Linked DNA regions of Oryzias latipes. The protein of the gene in region 1 interacts with the protein of each later gene in a pairwise test. Links are inferred from orthologs where the notes say so. Each region holds a gene or a part of one and is shown in the gene's direction. Other genes may lie near its edges.

Evidence for each region. The genes of interacting proteins can lie anywhere in the genome.
Region 2: the proteins of banp (region 1) and map2k1 interact in binary tests that used the Homo sapiens proteins (3 or more experiments, as listed by UniProt). The two-hybrid records come from large-scale screens. The link is inferred for Oryzias latipes from reciprocal best matches to the Homo sapiens genes BANP and MAP2K1.
Region 3: the proteins of banp (region 1) and leng1 interact in binary tests that used the Homo sapiens proteins (3 or more experiments, as listed by UniProt). The two-hybrid records come from large-scale screens. The link is inferred for Oryzias latipes from reciprocal best matches to the Homo sapiens genes BANP and LENG1.
Region 4: the proteins of banp (region 1) and rab3ip interact in binary tests that used the Homo sapiens proteins (3 or more experiments, as listed by UniProt). The two-hybrid records come from large-scale screens. The link is inferred for Oryzias latipes from reciprocal best matches to the Homo sapiens genes BANP and RAB3IP.
Region 5: the proteins of banp (region 1) and foxm1 interact in binary tests that used the Homo sapiens proteins (3 or more experiments, as listed by UniProt). The link is inferred for Oryzias latipes from reciprocal best matches to the Homo sapiens genes BANP and FOXM1.

What each region holds. Positions count from the first base shown.
Region 1 is NC_019864.2:22,009,162-22,015,466, reverse strand, and holds the start of banp (protein BANP), read left to right. Parts: upstream 1-2,090; 5' UTR 2,091-2,571; intron 2,572-5,694; 5' UTR 5,695-5,700; coding exon 5,701-5,773; intron 5,774-6,003; coding exon 6,004-6,116; intron 6,117-6,219; coding exon 6,220-6,305. UniProt on the Homo sapiens protein: Controls V(D)J recombination during T-cell development by repressing T-cell receptor (TCR) beta enhancer function. Binds to scaffold/matrix attachment region beta (S/MARbeta), an ATC-rich DNA sequence located upstream of the TCR beta enhancer.
Region 2 is NC_019864.2:16,494,862-16,498,940, reverse strand, and holds the start of map2k1 (dual specificity mitogen-activated protein kinase kinase 1), read left to right. Parts: upstream 1-1,279; coding exon 1,280-1,362; intron 1,363-4,079. UniProt on the Homo sapiens protein: Dual specificity protein kinase which acts as an essential component of the MAP kinase signal transduction pathway.
Region 3 is NC_019874.2:19,390,365-19,394,617, reverse strand, and holds the start of leng1 (leukocyte receptor cluster member 1), read left to right. Parts: upstream 1-1,453; 5' UTR 1,454-1,792; coding exon 1,793-1,924; intron 1,925-2,264; coding exon 2,265-2,441; intron 2,442-3,518; coding exon 3,519-3,805; intron 3,806-3,906; coding exon 3,907-4,126; 3' UTR 4,127-4,253. Other genes in the region: tmc4 (transmembrane channel-like protein 4), read left to right, coding at 1-80, 241-396, 518-596, 717-770.
Region 4 is NC_019881.2:22,273,283-22,277,346, forward strand, and holds the start of rab3ip (rab-3A-interacting protein), read left to right. Parts: upstream 1-1,264; 5' UTR 1,265-1,398; intron 1,399-1,552; exon of another isoform or gene 1,553-1,577; intron 1,578-2,130; exon of another isoform or gene 2,131-2,151; intron 2,152-4,064. UniProt on the Homo sapiens protein: Guanine nucleotide exchange factor (GEF) which may activate RAB8A and RAB8B. Promotes the exchange of GDP to GTP, converting inactive GDP-bound Rab proteins into their active GTP-bound form.
Region 5 is NC_019881.2:18,848,296-18,852,375, forward strand, and holds the start of foxm1 (forkhead box protein M1), read left to right. Parts: upstream 1-1,280; coding exon 1,281-1,722; intron 1,723-1,816; coding exon 1,817-1,965; intron 1,966-3,198; coding exon 3,199-3,390; intron 3,391-3,478; coding exon 3,479-3,607; intron 3,608-3,692; coding exon of another isoform or gene 3,693-3,752; intron 3,753-4,077; coding exon 4,078-4,080. Other genes in the region: rhno1 (RAD9, HUS1, RAD1-interacting nuclear orphan protein 1), read right to left, coding at 1-77. UniProt on the Homo sapiens protein: Transcription factor regulating the expression of cell cycle genes essential for DNA replication and mitosis. Plays a role in the control of cell proliferation. Also plays a role in DNA break repair, participating in the DNA damage checkpoint response.

The sequences.
Region 1 (6,305 bases):
AAGTGCAAGCGACGTTTTACAGATTCCTTTTATTTTTTGCACAATAATCAAATGTAAATTAAATATGTTTACAAACAAACAGGAATTGATAGGAAATCCATTCACATTTTAATTTCCTAAAGTTTTTCACATACAAATAACACAAACATAACATTATTAGACAGAGAAGTTTAAGGTGGAGATCACATCACGGCTCAGCACTCAGCCCCTTCATGTTTGCAATGGTGATGGACAGGCTGACAGATGATGTTAGACAGGAATCACCATGGACAGTGGTGTTTGCAGACGATATTGTGATTTTTAGCGAGAGCAGCAAAGAGGCGGAGGAGAAGCTAGATAGATGGAGGTTTGCCCTGGAAAGGAGAGGATGGAAGGTTAGCCACAGAAAGACGGAGTACCTGTGCATAAATGAGAGGGACCCAAGAGAAAGAGTGAGGTTATAGGAAGAAGAGATAAAGAAGGAGATGGAGCATTTTAAGCATCCAGAGTCAACAGTACAGAGTAATGGACAGTGTGGAAAAGAAGTGAAGAAGCGAGTGCAGCCAGGTTGGAATGGGTGGGAAAAAGTACCAGGTGTAATGTGTGATAGTATGAGGTTCAATTGGACCAAAGACATAGACAGTGGGCACAAAAACATGTTTTTGGCACAAATGGAACCTCATATTTTTCTGGCAACGTGCGTTTGCAGGAATATCAATAAAATGTATTTAAAGAAAACGTGTTTGTCATGGTTAACGCTAGCGCCGGCTTTAATAAACCTTTTTTTTGTTTCGTTCCGTGGTAGTACAGGAAACAATTAACCGACCGTACAAAGGACTTTTCTGACGACGAAAGACAAATGCAAAGTTTTAAACATAACGCATGAACCAAAGGTCAATGAACTCGTTCAGTAGACATAGACAAGGGACCAAAGACATAGACAGTGGACACAAAAACATATTTTTGGCACAAATGGAACCTCATATGATAGAAGAGTTTCAGCTCAAATCAAAGGAAAGTGGCACTGAGGAAAAGACAGGAAAAGGGCTGGAGGTTGCAGAAATGAAGATGCTGAGGTTTTTCTTGGGAGTGAACAGGATGGATTAGATAAGGAATGAGTACATCTGAGGGACAGCACATGTTAAAGGTTTTAGAGATCAAGTCGAGAGACCTAACTGAGATGGTTTGGACCATAGTGTCCAGAAGAGAGGCAGTGAGTAAGTATATTGATGGAAGGATGATGAGTCTAGAGCTGCCAGGCAAGAGGTGGATGCAGTGAACGAAAACGTGACAGTTTTTGGTGTTAGAGTAGAGGATGCAGAAGACAGGGTTAGAGGGAGGAAGGTGATTTGCTGTGGCGACCCCTGAAGGGAAAAGTCCAAAAGGAAAGAAAATGATTAGAACATTATGCCATATGATCACGTGTCTTTGCAAAATTCAAAGGGGGGTTTCAATACATTGAAGTGAAGAAGCAATAGCTTGATGTCTTGATCCTGTTTTGGTGCCTTCCCGTGTGTTGCCTGCTGTGATGGCATTTGGTCGTTTTTATGTTATAGTAAAATAAACCTTCTGTGCCTCAATCCAAATGGTATTTCCCAATATCAATATAATCAATTTATTTCATTTTGAAAAAAGTTTATGATGGTATATTGATTCAGTTACCAAATTGCCTCAGACAGATTGATCTGGTTGGATTGTAGAAAAATAAATGGATTCATCAATTCAACTATTTACAAATACGGCCTCCTTCACTTGATTACAATTTGGCTAATGCAGGACTGAAGGGCTTCATACAACACCTAAATAAATTAATAAATAAAATACATAAACAAAACATGGATAAAGAACAAACGTGTATTAACACACGTTGAATCACAAACATGGCAACAAGAGTGTCTCTCTAACAATTAAATTAAAAAAATGTTTTTAAATGACTGGTTTTGCAGATCTTTAATATATAAAGATCTGCATATATATATATATAATATTTGTATAATTTCTTTTTAAATAATTTGTGTGTTGTCTTAAATGTTGATGGTGTGTCATTTTCTCTATTTTCCCTCACTGTTCAAATCAGAACACAGAGTATCTGAAACTATCTCGAAATTGTTCAGCTGATAACAGTTTTATACTTTGTTCTTTAAATAGTTTCCCCCTGCAGTTGTTACACGAGATATTGCTGGTAGCGTTGATTTTTCTGCTCAAATCGTTGGCTTAAAAAATAACGAAAGACATCCATGTGCAGGATCCTTTGTTTATTTTTTAGTTTGTGAGGAAGTAATCCTAAAAACAAACTTAAATTTGATAGTTCAGTAAACATCCGCTCATATAAAGGAGCATTTCTTTAATCATAAGATTTTAAGGCGGTCGGTAGTTTTGAGCAAAGTGTCAAAGTGTTTTTCTAAAAGAAAACTTTACACCCTGACGCTGATCTCATATCTAATGAAGAGTCGGCACGTTCCCCCTACAGGCTGTCTCGGCGGTCGCAGCCAGTCGGCGGAGGAGCACAGGAAGGCACGAGCTCATCTCTCGCGAGGAACGACGCCGTTATCGGAATCTCTAGAAACAACACGAGAATTCGTCATTCACACGGTAATATAAGCCCACTCTTACACCGTGCAATTGACGTGTGTGAGCAATGGTCTACGAATCCAAGTCAAAATCATCTTTCATTTTATTTTAATTTTTTACGTTTTAGCAAATACTTCGTTGCGTTTCAGCGGCCTGTAGGCCTAACTAGCATGCTAACGACTAAGCTAGCTGAAATAGCGCTCTGTTTGCGTTGCTTAGCTCTCAAATCGGATTGTGCTAACTTTAGCCATTGCCAGTACATCACTGCTCTGTGCTAATCGAAACTTGTTATAATGCACAGCTGTGATCTCATGCAGTTGTAATAAACTGTACTTTTCCTGAAAAACAATAATCAACATCTATCAGGACCTATGTTCCTTCAATTGTTTAGTTCATTAATTTAAATCTCCTCCCATTTACTGATACTGATAGCATACAGTTAAATAACTGCATCGTTACTAGCAAGGCAAAGATGAAATATATTTAGTGGAATGAAAGGTAGAAGGCTTGAACAAAGTCTGGCTTTATCATTATTAAGATAAACCACCAGTTTACAAATAGTAAGGCATTTCTGGTCGTTTTTTTTAAACTATCACATCTTAATTGCTTTGAAACAAATTCATACATTGACATGTGTATGAATGTGAAAGTATTTCTCAAAGTGCATCAACTAATGTCATAAAATTGCCAGTCTGATCTACTTTTGCCCCAATCCATATACAAAAAAAGTACATTTGATTAAATTATACATCCAAATTAGTATTTGCTAAAAGTGACGTAAACAAATCTATTTGTATTTTGATTTAATTAAAAAATTAAATGGGGAGACTTGAGTTTAACTGTTATGCCATTTAGCCACAGCTTGTAAAGAAAAATACAGCAATGCCAAGCACACATGCTTTGTTTAGAAGGTGGTCATTAGCCTTAGTGATAATTGTTTTACATAAACATAAAATTGTGTTTTAATTAAATTTTTACTTTAAAATAACCATTTATTGGAAAAACAAACAATCTTCCAATACTGTCATTTACATTGGACTTTAATTCATATACACTGTTTTAAAATTAGTTGAATCAGGAAAATAAAATACTTTTAACTACTCTCGCCTTTGCAGGCTTTTAATTATGACACAGATTTATGGTATTGGGGAAACATTTTAGATATAAAGGACTTGGGAAAACAAAACAAAACAAGAATTATAAGTATTTTGACCATAAATAATGCGTAAATAGGTTAAAAGAAACGAGTACCACAATAAAAATGTTCCTAAACGTGAAAACACTTCAGCAAATATTAACTATTGTATTTATTTATGAAATTTGGGGAAGTTTAAATGTCCACTCATTTTTTGGACTTATCATTTAAAAACAGTAATTTTTATCAAGAACCGTTTCCAAAACTATGTTTCATGACTATATGACACATGAAAAGCAGATTTTGAATTTTAGCTGCAGTTTAGTCACATGAAGCAGAAAGTGTGCCATTCTATGTTTAACTTGCTAGTGATGAACATGTAATAAATCCTCAAACTTAAATGCTTTAAAAATGTCATAGAACTCATTATAATTGCATACTCAACACATGCATTGACTTCAAAGCATTTATGTACAACTGTTGTCAAACACAATTTCATAACTGGTATTAAGCTAATAGGATTTGCTTGAAAACCAGTTAAATTTGATTTGTTTCCTCAATTATGGAGTTTGCAATATGTGTGGAAAAAGGCCCAATATTAAATGCATTGGCAATAATCTCTGCAAGTATTTGATTTGGCCCAATAAGGTAATCAAGCTTTTTTCAGGCTGTGTAGTTATTAGTCAAAAGCGCTAAGGCTCAAAATCATACAATAAAGACCTTGTCCAGTTTGGTGTGGATGCACAAAGCCACTCTTGATGCTCTGGAATGTACAGGTTTCAATCGGTGATACTTTTTCTTAAAGTTCAGTCCTACAGGAAACAAAAACAGTGGCTTACAAGGGTCGCTTCCTGTTATCCTTTCCAACAAGCCTGTTTGAAATGGTATGGTTGCCAGGAGCACACATTCCCTCTATGAAAGGAATTTTTGCAAGTTACAATTGTGGAAAGCTCTGAAGATTTCTTTAACAAAAGACAAATAATGCCCCACTTTTTGAAAAATTAAACACAAGAATTTATCGTTGTGTAAATGAGACCAGAGTCCACTTCAATGAATGTAGTCTTAAAGTTCTGTTTATTTTTTAAAGTCAAATGCAAAGATCTGTTTGTTAACTGCATTTTGTTTTAAACAGCAAAAACGGAGTCTTAAGGAAGTGAAAAAGACCCTTCTTTCCTGAAAAATGTGTCTTATTTTCTGTCTTTCCATCCATTTTCTTAACCTACTCTATCTTTTTTGGGGTCTCGGGGCTCCCGGAGCCTAAACTGGGTCATTTTGGGCAAGGGTAGGGTACACCCTGCAGGGCCACACAATTACACACACACCGAGTCGCACCTTGGGATGTGACCGATGAAGCGCGTCTATGGATGAAGGTCGATTGCCTGGAGAAAATCCACACATGCACAGGGAAAACATGCAAACTCTTCACAGAAAGGACCCAGTTTGGATTTGAACCAGAGCCTTCTCATTGAGAGGTGAAGGCAGCAACCTATTCTTTCTTGTCTTGCAAGAAAAAGTTTTTCTAGTAGCAAATGAAACTTTGTTTAAGAAAGCATGCCCAAGTGACATCTAAAGAACATTTTTGAAATTTTAAGTAGTTTTGATGAACTTTATAGTGGACTGTGGTCTGAGGCACAGCAGCGCATTTAGAATAGATTAAAGAAAAAAAGAAGTTGTTCAAGTCAGTCAATGAACGGCAGTCAATGAACTGCAGTTAAATTGCCAAACCCCGCCCCCTAATAAAAAGCAAAACTAAAAAACAAGTGGAAGTTTCTCTAAAATGACAGGGGAGGTAATGTTCATGCACACAAGTCATAAAAACATTTTCTTCTGAATGTACATTTATAACTTCTTAATAATCATTTTGGTTTTTATAAAAAAATTACCATTTTCTTCTTCATGTGTTTCTTGGTTTTAACATATATAAACATCTTGAGGTAAAAGATGACTGTTATTTTATGTCGCGTAAAGGCGCGTGGCAGCTCATTTTTCCTCCCCATGTCTCTTTTCAGTTATGAATGATGTCTGAACAAGAGTTAGATGACATCGTGCAAATAACAGTGGAGGACTTTACACACCAAGACCGCACTGGTGAGTTTTGCCAAAGGAGTTTAAAAAAATTAACCATAAGAAACATATTTTTTCTCTATCTTTTATAGACCTTTTATTTGTTGGATATCCGCACTAATAATTAATGGACATTTTCATTTAAGACTTTAAGTCCAGCTATTTTAACTACTCTTTACCTAAGGCAAGAAAATATATTCTATGTTGAGTGTGTCTTTTTTTTTTAAGTATAATTTTATATTTCAATGTGTCAGAAATGCTTGACAATCATGAGGACGACGAAGAAAGGCCACAGAAGAAAAAGAGAAAATTGAGCCAGAGCCAGGACAACAACAACAACAACAATCAAGATTTATCTTTTATTAAGGTACCAGCTGTTCACAAAATGCTTTCCAAAATCTTCCACATCTCTTTCAAAGTTGGGTGCTATTTTTGAGTGAACTATTATGTCGTATTATTTTTGTTTCCAGAATCTTTTGGTTTCGTTTACTGGATCAATCAGCCAACGTCTGGATGGAATTGAATCAAAGCTACAGGCCTTGGATGCCACATGCAA
Region 2 (4,079 bases), about 5.5 Mb from region 1:
CCACCTTTGCATAACAGTAGCTGGGTTAGGCTCTGCCAGCCCCTGACCCCAACAGGGATTCAATGGAATCAAAAAAATGGATGGATGGATTTTCACTAACATTTCTGTTATTTCCTCTGGCAGCTGTACCTTAAAGAAGGCATCTACAAGAGCAAAGGTTTGTTCTCTCTTGAAAATGACTTGCAGGTGTTTTATTTAGAGTAGAGTCCAACTGCTTGCCAGGATTTATCTAACGGATATTTAAAAAATGTGCAGGAAGTTGAAACTCCAAATCCTTACCTTGAGTGAATCATCAGTCGAATAACTTTTTCAATGGTCCACTTCTAGACAGCATCACGAATCCAAATGTTTTGATAAAAGAATAATAACTGAAAAACATTAAAATATTAAAGAAATGTGTTTTACATACATTTTTTTTAAAAACAACAACACTGAATTTATTGAATGAGCTACGTTGTTACCCACTTACTTTCAAGAAGGAACAAATGAGGGTCTTATAATTGTTTTTTTAATTAGCTGACAAAAGATGGCAAAAGACACAAAAATCCTGGAGTGATGGCACAAAACAACTCCCTGCCTACAGAGTGGTGTCAATGAAAAAAATGACAAAGAAATACTATTTTATTCTGTTGTACTTGTATTGTCGTTCTTCTTGCAAAAGTTTTGTTGTTGTTTAACTTAAATTGTTAACATTTTGTGTGAGGTGTGTTTTTTTACTTGCATTAACAGTAAAATGATAATGATCATTTTAACAATCGCTTCATCTTGCCTCTTAAAAAAAAGCTGTTCAGTCTTTCTCTGCTATCTAACTTGATGTTGACGGAATGGTCCATTGCCACACAGGGACAGGGGAGGACAAAACACTTTCACACGAGCAGTCTTATGCCATTTCAGTAATTTGGGCTTTTTATGACAGATTTAAACTATTGAGGAAATTATTTTAGACCATGTTTGTAAATGCCCCCCACACACACATGTGCAACAAGTCCGCCCCTGTACAATACACGAACTTCCCTCTGCTGCACAGGACTGCGATGCCAGCAGTCACCGGCAGAGGGCGCACTGCAATCAGGGCCTGACATGGTGCCCGGAAGACCAAGGTGTAAACATTTTTGTGACGTTCAGCTCACGTCCACCCGTTAAGCGAAGCATCAGCTGCGCTGGGTCTGCAGGTCGTGACAGCACTGCTCCGTTTTCGTTCCACTGGTTCGTCTGGCCGCCTTGTCCCTCCGTCCTCACGGCTTTCATTCCACAAAAAGGCCGATTCCTGAGAAAAAACATGCAGAAGAGAAGGAAGCCAGAACCGATCCAGCTGAACCCGATTCCCGACGGAAACACACTGAACGGAACCGGAGCCTCCGAGTGAGTGTTGGCGATCAGCTGTTTGTCACATACGAAATGTTACATAATTATGTTTACCACAGGAATTTAGAGCTTTTGGTGTGACAATAATCTGAGACACTGTCTGCACCGACTGTGGGATTATTTATTTATTTCACAGTTAAAACTGATTAGAAAGATAGGTTCAAAAAGTACTACTAACACAAGAACCTCTATTAGAACAGTACTAAGAAGACGAGCAGTGAATCCAAAGATACAATAGCGTCAAATATTTGTAAAAATGTTTCAAATAAACAAAAATTGCAGTGTTTTTTTTTTAAATTTAGGGGATCTGCTTAGAGAATCAGAGAAATCAAATCTCTGTCACAGATTAGTGTTAATACAGCTCTCCTCACTGTGACTGATCTAATCATCACTGTGAAATAAAGTGGCTCTCCAGCTCTCTTCAGCTGATTTCTGAGGGGAGGCACTGTTTAGTGATATGCTTGTGTGGGTTGGAGGTAAAGAGAAAAAAACCAACATGATAATGGAGAAATAAACCTGTTGTGACACCTTGTTTAGTGTAAATCTGTGGAAACAATTCTTTGTCATTCCACCAATAAGCTGGATCCCATTACATAACATGGTCTTCACTATGAAGCCTGTTTGTGCAGGCAGGATGCTTTCTGGTTTCTTTATTAGATGCAGCCTCTGAAAGTGATCTGTAGCCTTTGCAAATGAGCACATGAAGGAAATCTAAATCAAGGATTGGGGATATTTTTTTTTAAACTGCTGAGAGTATGTGGTAATACTGCTGTTTAATGTAATGTGAGGATGCTAACCTGCAAACAGGTGTTGCTTTGTTCTTGTTGTTTTTTAAGCAGGTTTTTTGGGGTACATTCTGACAGTTATCTGAAACAGTCTAAAAAGCACTTTCTATATTCATATAGAAAAAAAAAGGTCCATTAAATTACACAGATTTTACTTTCCTAGCTCCATGTGAAACTCAACACTGTATGGCTCCATAACAGACTATAATGTGAGTGCTTGATGGCAGTCATCTAGTTTGGTATGTATTCTCCAGATCAATATTAACTGTAGAAAGCTCTTCTTCACATTAGCTCCTCCAATCCTGGCCCTTAGTAACATGTGATCCAAAATGTTGTTGTTCACCTTTCGGCATATCCCTTCAGAGGTCGCCTCAGTGAATCAGCTTTTACCGATTTACTGAAGGGACATGTGTTTTTGGCAGTGATTTTTACGTCGGATGTCCTGTATTTTTGCTGACTGGGGACCGGCACAGGGAAGACCCAGACTTGGGGGGGGCCCCCCTTGGGTCTTGCTCAAGGACCAACACTGGATGAAGCCTGGTTTCCCATGCGCCAGTCCTACACTCAGCTAACTGAGCCATCCAGCTGCTTGACATGTGATCCAAAATGTATTTTTTAGGTTCCGACATGAACTTTTAACAACATTGACTGACGTATGTCAAAACAGGAAATCCACTATTTTGCAAAAAAACATTTTGTGTGATGAAAAGAATGAGTCAAGTAACCATAAAGGTTAGTTATATGTATATGTCTAGCATTTCTAAGCATTGGGTAGTTTTCTATTGTCAGCATAATTTGACAAAAGTACGTTTTACTGTGTAAGCCTCATTCTCCTGCCTCCCTATGTTGTTTTGAACACACCTGTGCGTACAAATGTATCTCCTTAACCCTGTGGGTAGAAAGGGAATCAAAGATATAACAAGACAAAACAATATTTCATTAACTAATCTGAAACTCTCCTCTTGCTGCATAGAAGCCTACTCTTTTTTTTTTTAACAGATCTGAGTTCCTTCATTTAAGTTTCTTAATATTCATCATTTTTGTCATAAACTGTTTTCAAATCCACTGTTTTTGCTGACATTTGTCTGCAAGGCTCGGTGCAGAGCTGCAGAACGGGTTTCTTTCGTACCTTTATCTCCCATTAGATGTCCTTGAATATGACGCGAATGGATACAAGAAAGGCCGGCTACGTGCGCACACCCCCTGCACCTCAAGTGGTGCTGCCCCTGTGGTTGTTGCACCCACATATATTGTGTTGAGTGTGTTTCATGCTAGTTCTTTTCTCATCTCCTCCACCTCCAGCTCTTGTTGACAAAACACCCACGCCGCCCACATCTACATGTAGCTCGTTTCCATGGATATGCAGCCCTACTGACAAAAATAAAAGCACTTAAACCCTGTCTTTGCTGCATGACGGAGCATTAGAGGAGAGCTCAATGCCCAGCTTTGAGTAGTTATCAGTGAGTTGTGGTTCGACATGGACGTAAAATTCATAGCTGTGATGAAGCTGAAGGAGACCTCTACAGCAGGAGATCAGTCAATGCTCCTATGATATGTAGAAATCATACTTCAGGGCTGCGCAAAACTGCTATAGTACCGAAATGATCGGAATTCGTTTTTAATACAATGTAATTTGATTTATTTCAATTATTTTAATTCCAATTCCCATTTCAAACCCAGCTGTGTTTGGTTATGAAAAACTATTTCCACAAAACATTTCATTTAAAGTAGGTGAATATTAAAATGTCATTAATCAAACTAGACATTCTTATGGTAAAAAGTAACAGAAAAGGTTTGAAGACTGAAGGGAAAAAAAAGAAATAAGCAAAAGGGGATGAATGGATTTTGCTCTGTTAAAGGAAAGCTCTATTAATTTAATAGATTTTTTGAAACCCAAGAACATGTTACATTGCAAAACCTCTTCTCAAG
Region 3 (4,253 bases), on another chromosome or scaffold:
ACCTCAGCCTTCTTTTTCCTGGTGGTACTGCTCTTAGGCTGGATGCTGGCCTCAGTTGTCATGATTTACAGCATTGCTGTGTGAGTGTGGATGTTTCTTGGTAACATAAATAATACAATTATTTTTCCTACTGGTCAGAAAGTCAAAATTTGGCCAATTTGTCGCAATACAAAAAAGGCGATGGCTTTGTAGAGATTTATGAAATTATGTCTGAGTGACGTTCCGTGTCTGTCCATACAGGATCCATCCTTCTCGGGGATGTGGGCCTTTCCGGTTCTCTGACAACATGTGGTTGATTATACCGACATCTTTCTACAACCTCTCTGCAGCCACACAAGAGTTTCTTTTCTTCATTGGCTCACAGGCGTTTACAATCCCCCTGTTTTCATTATCGGGGTAAATCCATTTTCATTTTACATGAAAATCATTGAACTGTCTTGCACTGTGCAGATATAGATGATATTTTTCTTTGAATGCCAGTTGATTCTTTACCAGCTGACTTGTTTCTCCGTCATAGTTTGGTGATGTGCTACGTCATAGCTTTGTTCTCCATCTATGGGAAAAGTGTTGGACTGCTAAGACTGCAGCTCAAACGGGTAAGTTGATGGTATCTAAAGCAGTATACTAAGAATTGGCCATGAGTTAACAAAGATTTTTTTCAATATTTCCTTTTTTACTTTAACTAATACAGGGTCTGGTCTTTTTTGTTTTTACAGGAGAGCCGGGATAAGCAGTTCTTAGTCAAGCAGATTGAGGAACTAAGTCGGTAGATGACCAAGATACCATTTGATAGATACATATATATACTGTATCTACCACTACAAGACTAAACAGCCTCTGGACAATGTTTAGTCTCTGCAGTACAGTAACATGAGACGATGTCATAAAGAAAGGATGTTTATTAAAAAGAAAAAAAAAGCTTCATATTATATATACATAGTGAAATTACACCAGATTCTTTCAAAATAAAATGTTAAAAATGTTGCACATTAAACATCACTGTTCTTTAAGCACTTTAAAAGTGATCATTTAAACAGGTGTTTTGATCATTTTTGGATATAGACTTTGCAAAGAAATGCATGTAAAAAAATTGAACCTCTAATACTGTTTTAAAAAAACAAGACAGTTGGACAGTGTTTTTGTTAAGACGAGAGCAACCAAAAATAATTGTTTATTTTTGACCCTTTTGAGACTACGGTATGTATTCAAACTTTTTATATTCTTTTCTTTAAATGTTGTGATTTATTTGTATTTTTTTAATGAGAAGTCCTTCGTTTGCTGTTGTTTTTTTTTTTTTTTATTGCTTTTTAAAGTTTAGTCTTGCTCGCTTATGACCATTACATTTATTTCTTTTGAATAAACCAGTTGGCGCTCGCTCCAGCTCCATCTAACGATTCTTCTTTGTAATTGCTTCAAGAGTTGTAACTTTTTTTGTTTACTTCCTGTTTGGGTCTACTACTTCCGGTGGACCACAGCAAACCTGGAATAGATGAACTCTCCAAAAAGTCGGACAGATTTGTTTGTTGTTAGACCTTAGGATATTAAAAAAAATAATACTGTGCTTTTAACGAGCCAGGTTTGCCGTCATGAATGCTAACTTAATGTAGAAAAAATGTAAGCTAATGTTTTAAAATCTAGACAATTGCGCAGATTTTTTGCTAATTTCTGCTTTACTAATCATATCAGACTCAGTCACCTGGCTGATTCGCGTTCCATATTGTTGTAGATCAAAGGCTCGGGTCTGTTCTTCCTCTAAATTTTGAGTTAGCTAACTGCTAACAGTAACACCATCATGAATATCCTTCCGAAGAAAAGCTGGCATGTCCGCAATAAAGACAATGTAGCGCGCGTGCGAAGGGACGAAGCCCAGGCTGCAGAAGAGGAGCGCGAGGCTAAACGCCGCGTGGAGCGCGCGGAGCAAGAAGTATGTTCAGTTTTACCGTTCGTTTTTTGTGTTTACATCTGTCTGTGTTTCGTGCTGGCAGAGTATACGTTAACAGATCACGTGACAGTTTAGCTGGTTCTGAGCTGAAAATGAGTTGGAAACCTCTGCAACTGAGTAGATTATATGTATTTTTTTCCTTTCCTTTTGGGGGGTTGTTATTCACAAATCATATACAAAATTGAGGTTTGAACACTATCATTAAGAAAGTGTGTTGTTCCATCGCTAATATGGAGCTGATGTTTATTTTTTATTGTGTTGATAATCTGAAATAGATTCAAACTTCATAACATGCAAAAATTGTCATGGTTTGTTTCCACAGGCGCGAACAGAATATCTGAGAAGAAAGGCCCGAGCTGGTCTCCAATCAGTGGAAAGCACAGGAGATGATGGGAGTCAAAGCGGAGGACATGTGGAGCATCTCAATCTTTTTCCTTTGGAGGAGTCTTCAGATAAGAAGGGGAATGAAGAGTATCTCAAAGAGAAGAAGGAGGAAACGGTGATTGTGCTGCTACTTCTGTTTATATTCTGAAAATTACAGGTTTATCTGAGTAAACACTCACTAAAAATAATTTAGGAAGTCCATTTTATGGATTTTTTCTTTTCATTTGTTGTAGGAGAGGAATGGTGTACAAATCCCAGGAAATTGATTGTCTGATCCAGCACAGATTAACATCTATTTTTGTTTGTGTGCATAAAATACTATAACTATTGTGTTTTTCATGTTTGAAACTCTCATTCTAATTCTGCATTCAAAGAATGAACACTTTTAACAACCAGACTGCATTTGCTTGACAGTTAGTTTTCCCTTGTTTATCACGGGAGTTATCTTCTAAAAATAACCCACATCAGGTGAAATCCACAAAGTAGAATTCGAGATGTTTTAAGGCTGTAAAACGGAACTTTGTTTCATGTTTAAACTCTTAAAGTTCAAACATTTGTAGTAAAATAAGTCATGTATTATAGAATAAAACAAAAAAATCTGTTTGTGGTTGAAGATTTAGATATTTGGCAAGCTAAACGCATTCTGTACAGGAGACACCGCTTGGAGGAAAGTACTTGACAAAGTCTACTACCAATCAGGATGCAGAACAAATTGAGCTGTTAAAAGAAATCAATGAAAAGAAATATGAAAAAAATCAGCGAGAGCGTGAAAGATATAGCGAGGGACCACTGTACTCAAAAGAAAAAAAACAGGTTGCTCATCTACAAGTTGCAAATGAGTAGCACTCTGCAGCTTTTTGTTGATTTTTAAATCAGTAATGCTAATTTAAAAAGGTAAACATCCACTTTTCCCCACCTAATACACTTGGTTTGCTGTGGTTTCTTATTCTACAGTGGCAAAAACGTGCAGCTGGATCTCATCAGACTCTGTCAGGATTTTTATTTTACCAGGAAGTTCTGATTCTACTTTTATGCAACAATGTTCAGTCATCTATTAGAGAAGGAAAAATGACACAAAGAACAATTTGCATGAAAAGGCAATGGAGTTTATTACAGTTTTTTTTATTCTCCAATACAATTATTTGAAATGGAATATTTTAAATATTGATCATAGCTACTCTGGTTTGTCCAGGAGAAGCAAGAGCGAGCCATCGGCCTGCTTGTTTCTTTAGGCCCCCAACCAGGCACTGAGGTGACTCCATGGTACATGCAAAGCAGCGCAGAAAAAGAAGAAGAAGAATCGGAAAAGAGGAAGGGCATAATTGAAGAGGAAAAGGCGAAGAAAGACCGCAGGCTGAAGGAAAGTTTGGATCCTTTGAAAGATATGAAGAAAGCATTGGGGGAAAGTGAAAGGAGGCACCACAAGAGCAAGAAAAAGGAAAGAGGAGACAAGGGAGAAAAGAGGAGCAGTGGGGAAAGGTAAGAAAGACTTTGGTTGCTTGAATGTCCTTCTAATGATGTTGATTACATAATAACACTGTTTTTTTATGGTGTTTTCTGTTTTTTTTTTGCCTTTTCAGCTCCATGGAAAGATTGCGTGCTGAACGCTTACAAAGGGAAGCTGAAGAAAGGAGAAGAGCCCAGGCTTTGCTTGAGCAGAGGAGTGGGAAAAGGAAGGATGCAACGCGAGAAATGGACGACAGGGACCGGCCTTACAACAACGCTTACTTCCCAGAAATTGCCCGAAAACGACAGAGGCGAGACAGAGAGAGCTGGAGAGATGAGATTCTCAAATCTTGAGTTTCATTATTCTGAACATTTTACAATCAGATGGTTAGGATTCCCTATGACTTTTTTTTTTTCATTTGTCCTGTTCTGTCCATAAAAGGAAAGTCTTGCAGGAACTAGAGGTCATGTCCAACAGCAG
Region 4 (4,064 bases), on another chromosome or scaffold:
AGTTTCAACTTGACGCTTCACAAATAGTGGAAAATTGGAGCTTTATCATTCTTCTTGAAAATTTGCTGCTGTTCATAAACACTGACAGTCCAAATAAAAAATGATCATCCAGGGTGAAATTATTCCCTGCATGGAACGATCAATAACTGAGTGTTCCTCCCTAAAGACTCACAAAAGTTTAAAGGGTTTTTATGGCTATTGTAAAATCCTAAAGTAATTGAAAATAAAAAAGAGAAAATTAAAATAAATTTACGTTTAAGTTTAATCACAATACACGGAAGGTCCATACATATGGTTTAAGATTAGGTGAAAAACTCTAAAGCTCAAGTATAATTCCAGTGTTGTGTTATTTTGATGCTTTAAAGTAAAAGTTAATAATCACTTCCAAATTAAAACAATCGATCAGCTGAAAGAGTTCAGGCTCAATGATGAACTCAGGAAAAAACTAAACAATGGTGATCATTTATTTGTTTCTGGCGCCCTCTGCTGGCGGTAGCATTATATTGTCAGATGTTCAGGTGTTTTTTACCTATAAACAACCAAAAACAACACGTCACACCGTCAACATAAATGTGTCAGATGTTTTCCAAAAAAACGAATTCTATTGTAATAGATAAATAACAGGGAGCCGGTTTAGCTCGTGCTGGTTTTGCGGCGCCTTCCGTCCGTGAAACCAGGGTTCGAATCCGGACTGCTCCCTGTTCCTTTCTCTACTTCTGTGCCGGTCCCAAGCCCGGTTGCTTTGAGAAGGTTGCGTCTGGAAGGGCATCCGGCGTAAAACATTGCCAGGTTTACCATGCGACCCTTGATGGGAAAAGCCGAAAGGGAAAGAAGAATTGTAATAGATAAATAATTAACAAATATACAGAATTTTTACGAAAAAATAACAAAAACTGAACGTGGCTTGAATTTGTAATTAAAATTTGTATATGTCCAACAATTACTACAATTTATACATGACAAACATATGAAAAGTCGTAGAATAAGTTCTGATACAATTGAGGCCTAAATCAAACCAAATTTAACTATTTTTTTAAAGGACACTTAAAACCTATATTTTTATTTTGCTCTATTCAAATTATTTATTTTGTCTTACTGTGATTTGCATCACTATAAGTTTAATTTGGCGAAAGTTTGTTGCGGTTGTCATCTGTTCTCAAGATGGTGCGTTTAGTGACCACCGTTTTTCTGCATTCTGTGGATGTGTGATAGTAAAAGCTGGTGTTCAGCGCCGTGTCAGAAAGCAGAGTGTTGATGGTAGCTCTAATTTCCTAGAGTTCCGTGAACGCAACCCCCGTCGGTCCCTGCGTCAGCAGCCTCTCCGGTGCTCCTGTTTGTTTCGACTCGTTTACCGGAAGGCTTACCGACCGGTCCGGTTGCTGTTCACGGGGAGGTTCGGTGAGTCCACATATTAAAAATTATTGACGCATATGTATTTATTCATTTATTTGTAGACGTCATAAATTCGGTTGTCGCTTACTGCTGCATGGATTTGCTTTACGCACCCATTATCTGACAACAGAGTCTCCTTTTCTGTTTCCTTTGCTATCAGGAGAACACTTGGAGTAACTTAACTGGTGTGTTTCAATATATTTGTTATCATGTTGATTATTCTAATTTATTTACCTGGCATACCTTTGCTCTTGATGAATTCGTAACGCTGTGTCTGTTGCCAGGCTACGAATAGTGACCGATAATGGAAGTAGGGCTTCCCTCATCATCGCTAATATTTTCATCGTCATAGTTAAAGGCTTTTTATTCAAATATATACATTGAATTGTTGGCGTTGTTGTGTCAAACAGCTGTTCGGGGTTCCTGTTCATGGTTTGATGTTGAAGGAACATTGAAATTTCTCTCTGAAACACTATTAAAAGGGGTTAGCTTAGGTTAGCTAGCTCGGCTAATCTGAATGCTAACGAGCCCGTTTCTTCAGTGAAACTCAAGCCGCCAGGCGCCGCTGTCATGCATGTTTCATGCGTTGGTGCTCGATGGCATCGCACGGTCGCTGTGGATAGGCGTGTGCGGTTAAATACGCGTGCACGCCGCTTTCTCACTGTCGTGATCCTTGCTAGCGGATGCTAACTCGAAGCTAACCCCGGGGGCTCCTGAACAGAGGGGTATTCCAGAAAGCAGGTTATGCTAGTTACCACGGTAAGTTTGAGGCTAAGGAAGCGGATAACCTCAGCTTTAGGTTCCAGAAATCGAGGTATGTTTTAGGGTAGGTCAAGTTGCCATAGCAACTCATGCACTGAACATAACCTGGTCTAGAGCAGGTTTAGTTGAAGGTTAGTTTGTTTTCAGAGAGGTGAAGCAGCATGGCGTGTCCATTTGAAGATGATTTAGTGGATGAAGAAGCTTGATAAGACTGATTGGTGATAAGACCACGTATGGATGTTGGAAAGATAAACTTTTTTACATTAATCTAACTTAACTATTTGCTTCAGTTAAGATAAATCATTTTTGTTGTTAATTCAGCTTAAATATAACACGCAGTTATCAGACAGTTCTTTTACTTCAAATTAATTCAATTTAGTATGTGTAACTACTTCCGCAAGGAATTGTGGGATACCATTCCCTTTGCCTGTCTGGACGGATTTGGGTACAAGTGTAGGTTTTTGTCTAAATATGTTTAGTTGTAGCTGTTTTACTGTGTTTTGCCGAGTTATTTATACTGTTATGTTAAATTCTTTCAGCACCATGAGTGAGAAGGAGGGAGAGGATGATGAATTTATTTAGCACCTCTATTAGTTAACGAACACATTAAACACAGTTTCTGATTTGTGAAAATGTGAAATTGTATTATTTTTGTCGCATTTTTCGCACTGAGTCCACCTGTTCAAAAACCACACAACCTGTACTGATCAAACCTGGATTAAAACATTATTTAGATACTAAAGAACACATTAAACACAGTTTCTGATTCGTGAAACTTTCCCAGCAGGAAGTTGAACCCTTTATTTGATTTCTCAAAATGAGGACGGGAGCGATACGATCGAGGGAGGAGAGAAGACATATGAAAAGCAGAGTAAGAGAGATGGGTGAACCTGAAATGGGAAGAGACAACATTAAAATATCAGGGTCCAAAAAGAGAGAAGTTATCTTACAAGTTAGTTTGGTCACGTTTACTTTATGAGGAGATAAGGTGGACTCAGTGCGTAAAATGCGATAAAATAATCCAATTTTACATTTTCACAAATCAGAAACTGTGTTTAATGTGTTCTTTAGTATCTAAATCATAATTTTATCCAGATTTTATCGGTTCTAGGTGATCTTGGTGTGAAAAATGCAGTGGAATGTTCCTTTAGTGCCCCTCGTGAAACGGAAGCCAACCTCAGCTTCGTATGATGGAGGAAATGTTGAGAAAATTAAGCTTAATATTGTTTTTTGATTTATGGCGGTTCTTATTATTTGGGCAAAAACGGCATAATCATAATGAAAAGATCACTGGGAATGATTTAAAAATAGTTTAAAAGACTTTTTAGAGTTTAAACTTGGAAAACAGGTTTTTTTTTTTACCCTCAAAGGTCATGTGACTGAAAAACTGTGCTGCATTTGTAATCTATTTTCTTTTAGTAGTAAGAAAAAATGAGATTCCTCCAGAATTTGGTTAGTGTTCTCATCATTTGTCTTCACTTTGATTTGATAGTGCTGCCCAGAAATGTGCCCGACTGTAAATCCATCATCAGCGGCTGAGCTGCAGATTGGATTTTTTCAGTCTTAATTGGGTTAAATCCTTCAGAGCTTTAATTCCAAAAAAACTGAGGATGTGAAGCATTTTAGGACGAGTTTTCCCTTTGGATTTCATCGATGGGTGGAGGATTTATTCTTGTGGCGCTCCAGCTGTGCGGTTGCGTGGATGTCCCGGATCCTGCGCTTGTTTCCATTGTTGTGGTTTGGTTCTTCCACCGCTGCGTTTTAATCCTGTAAACGCTGGCAGCGCGCCTCGGCCAGCCTGGAGGAACTGGATCTGTAATCAGCATCCTTCAGTGTCGGGTTACCACGGCTCACCAGGGCATGTCTCCATGGAGACGTGTGTGTGGGTGTGGGGGGCAGCTGGAGTTTCA
Region 5 (4,080 bases), on another chromosome or scaffold:
TGAAGTCTGGCGCCACTCACAGGTCGCTCCAGGAATTGCAGTGCAGGCTTGTCTGTCTTTGCCGCTTTCCGGGGCATCAATTTAAATCAATCTTAAGCATCTGTTCAAAACAAACAAGAGACAAATCCGATCGAGTAATCTTGTTAACAATACACATAGCTTTAGTCGTAGATCGAGGCTGTTTACATATTCGCATTCAAGTGTTTACTTTTGAAACGCGTTCTTTACTTACCATATTGTGCTTTTTCCGTGATTATGTGTCCATGTACGGAATACGGAATAAAAACGTTCCCTTATTTTTCGGTTCATTCAGACCTTTTTATCTTAGCTTGTCCGTGTTGTTGTTACTTTTAATTTCCCGGATTTTTTCTTTGTCTTCTTCGGGTTAGCGGCTGGCCATCTCGAGCTGCGGCCCACAGCGCCACCTATTGAGCCGCCCAGTGTTTTTTTCTGCGTTTACTATTGGTCCATTGTTACCATGTGATCAAAGTGACAGTCGGGGCAGCGCCCACAGCGCCAAAATTCAAAACTGTTTATGGATTGACTTTTTGTATCTAATTACTACTAAATACGTCGGTTTTGTGAATATTTTAAATGTTTTCTTTGATCCGACAAGTGGAATTGAAAGCCGAACCAAGCCTGGAATTGAATGAAACGCTGCAGTAATTCAGTAATGTGAAGGTCTGGCTTCATTTTTCCACTTGTTTCCTCCATCGTCAAACAGCTTTAGCATAGCTAGCTTAGCCTAGCTGTAAATAAAGGAAACTATACGCTAATCGGGACATTGGCTAGGCGCATGTTATTTTTTGAATTTATTTTTTGTTTTATTGATTGCATTGTGTTAACATGTAAATATATGTTGCACTGAATATCCACTAGATAGACGTTATTGAAATTAAACCTATCATCAACTGAAAATTATAACGACTGGCATGTCGCCAAGGGAACCGAATAAAATCTTCACTTTCGAGCGAGGGACTGTTGGGACTTTTGCAGCAAACAGACAGCAATAATCGGGTTTCTTTAAGTTTGAAGACGATATCATAGGATTGAAACATCATTTTTGACCGATTACTTCGTATTCTATTAGCAGGTATGTTGTTTTCAGGCTCACTAGTTCGGGGTTATCGTTAAAGTCAGTATTTAAACGTTGTAACGTAATGTATTGATAAGGTGTTTAACTTCTGAGTACTTTTTGAGCCATAACTGTAGCTCAAGACCTTTTCCCCCTCCCCACAGATTTCCATTGAACACCTAAGGCCCTTTGGATGATTTGAACCATGAGACGGAGCCCAAGGAGACCCCTGATCCTCAAAAGGCGCAAGTTACCTTTTCAACAAAAGGAACCCACCCCAGCAGACCCATCCAGGCAGTCCGGTGGCTCCAAAGAGCCGTCAAATTCCAGCGACAGTTCGTGCTTCCCAGACGGGGTCCGCTTTATAGGCCACCCATCCCTGTCAGACACTCAGGTTGTGGTCATTCCCAAAGCTACAGACGTTCAGAGTGTAATTAGTGTCCTCGCCGCTAAAGGCAAAGACAGCGGAGTTCAGGGTCCGAGCAAGTTTATTCTCCTGAGTGACAATGGCAATCAGGATCAAGCCGGATCTTTCTGTGAGACTGCTACTTCTGGAGGAGATGCTGTTTCCACACAAATCCCATCTCAAGAACCAGCAACAAAAGAAAGCACTCACACATCCCTTGATGTGACTGGCATTAAACCCTGTAAGGAATTTGCACAGAGTTTAAAATTTTATGTCAGAAATGCTACATTTAACTGAAATACCTGCTTCAATATATATATATAATTTTTTTTCAGTGAGTAAAGATGGGAATAGCGGCCCTTTGGATGACAGCCTCACCAACATCCAGTGGCTGGGCAAAATGAACACATGTGCTCTAGAGTCAGAGCCTGCAAAGCAAATACAAGGCAAGGAGAACCAGGCTCCCGTGTCTCAGACTGCTCAGGTCAGCTGTTTGTCTTTTTTTTTCCTTCCACACGGTTGTGACTTTTGCTGCCAGTGTGCAAACAGATTCTTGTGTGACAGGAACACAAGTCTGAGGCAATGTTGTGGCACGTTTCCTAAAATTGAACAGTAACCCGTCTGCCTGAGGAAAATGTCACCATGCTGTGATTTTTCACCATTTGTGAGGTTTAGTCACACGTTTTCATTTTATTCTAAAGCTGCTCTTTGCTGAAGATTTTGACAAAACGTAAGTTTTTTGTGAGAGAAAAATAGATACTATTACCCACCATCTGAACTGAAACTTTGATGAATTATATATGCTTGAATGGTGATTTAAATAGTGTTGCATGACATAATTTACAAGAACATTTATTGCAATGCTCCATAAATAGATGCTAACTTTGTATATTTGTGACTTAAGTAGCTCAATTATGATGTTTATTACTATGTATAGATTACAAAGGCTTTGATTTTACCCATATATTTGTATGTATGTATTAATGATATAGATGCATATCAACAGGATTTGCTTTATTCACTGTAGATATTGCTATATATTCTCTGATGGCTGATCTTTTTTGAATGTGTTTACATTCAAAATCTGATGGAAATTCATGCACATATTTTAACCCTGACACTCTAATTTCATGCAAATAGTCACTTCCTTTTGTGATTTGTCCTTTTCCATCTTAGGGGAAATTCTATAGTTGTGTTTTTTTTTGTTAATGCTAAATTAACCGTCAATTTTTGCATCTTTAGATCAGTAAATGGTGAGGTGTAATAATTTCCTTTTTAATATTTTTGACCGTTTTGAAGCTGCTGTTCAGCTCCGCAGTACCCGAACAGAAAGAAACCCGAAGACTGCTTAAAGACCCACTCCGATAAAAAAAATAGTTTTTACCATGTTATTGTCTCAATTTTCTGAAGCTAGAGGACATATATAGGGAAAATTAAGCTTACAATTGCATTTCTGAGTATATCCTCATTCAAATTGTTGTGAATCAGGAGCAGACTGAAAAAAGAGCTCATTTGTGACGTAGAAAATATTCTAAGCTGGCCACAAGTTCTCTCGTCTGAGGGAGGGGACAGCGTTCCCGTTACATACTGTCTGTATGTGTTTCAACCTGAAGCCACATCTTCCAGAAAAGAATTTCTCGAGTTTGTCTTCCGTGTTCTTGCAGTCATTTTCACGGCTGAAATTCACCCTCATTCGCGTTTTTTCTTTTGATCATAGGCAGCCAGCGTACCTCCAGAAACGAAACCTTGCCAGCAGCCCCTGTCAGGGAGGCCGCCGTATTCCTACATGGCCATGATCCAGTTCGCCATCAACAGCAGGAAAAACCGGAGGATGACCCTGAAAGAGATCTACACTTGGATCGAGGACCATTTTCCGTATTACAGACAGGTGGCCAAACCCGGATGGAAGGTAAAAAAAAATCCAGACTTTTGTTTATTCAAGGCTCCCATTTTTTTGATCCAAGCGTTTATATCTGTTCTGAAATTCCCATTTGCAGAATTCAATCCGCCACAACCTTTCTCTGCACGACATGTTTGTTCGCGAGACGGCGCCCGATGGGAAAGTTTCCTTCTGGACCATCCGGCCTGAGGCCAACCGATGCCTCACTCTAGATCAGGTATACAAGGTGAGCACGGCGGCGTTTTTCAGTGGTTTGCAGACACGTCTAACAGTTTCCTTTAATGTTTTGCTGTGTTTTTCACCTTTTAAAGCCTGGATGTGATCCAGTGACTGCTCCAGTTCCTGTTCCAATGCTTTTATTTCCCAACCAAGTAAGACGGCATCTTCAGTCTAACAGAACTTTGCAAGCAGGAAGCTGAAAGGGACAGAAGCTTAAGTGTTTCTTCAACCTGTTTACCTTTAATAACCTTTAATGTCTTTGAAGTTAGCTTTATGTGGACATTTGAGCATCGTAAGTTTATTTATTCTTGCAGGTTTGCTTTGAAAGCTGTGTTGTTTCTTTGCCATTGTCCACTCAGTACAGCAGGGGCAGAAAATGAAAAGGAAGCAGTGGATTCTCTTCATCCAGAATGTGTCGTCTGAAAGTTAAACTTTATGAATCAATTCGAATCTACATTTTTTTTTGTTTCTCTCCAGTCT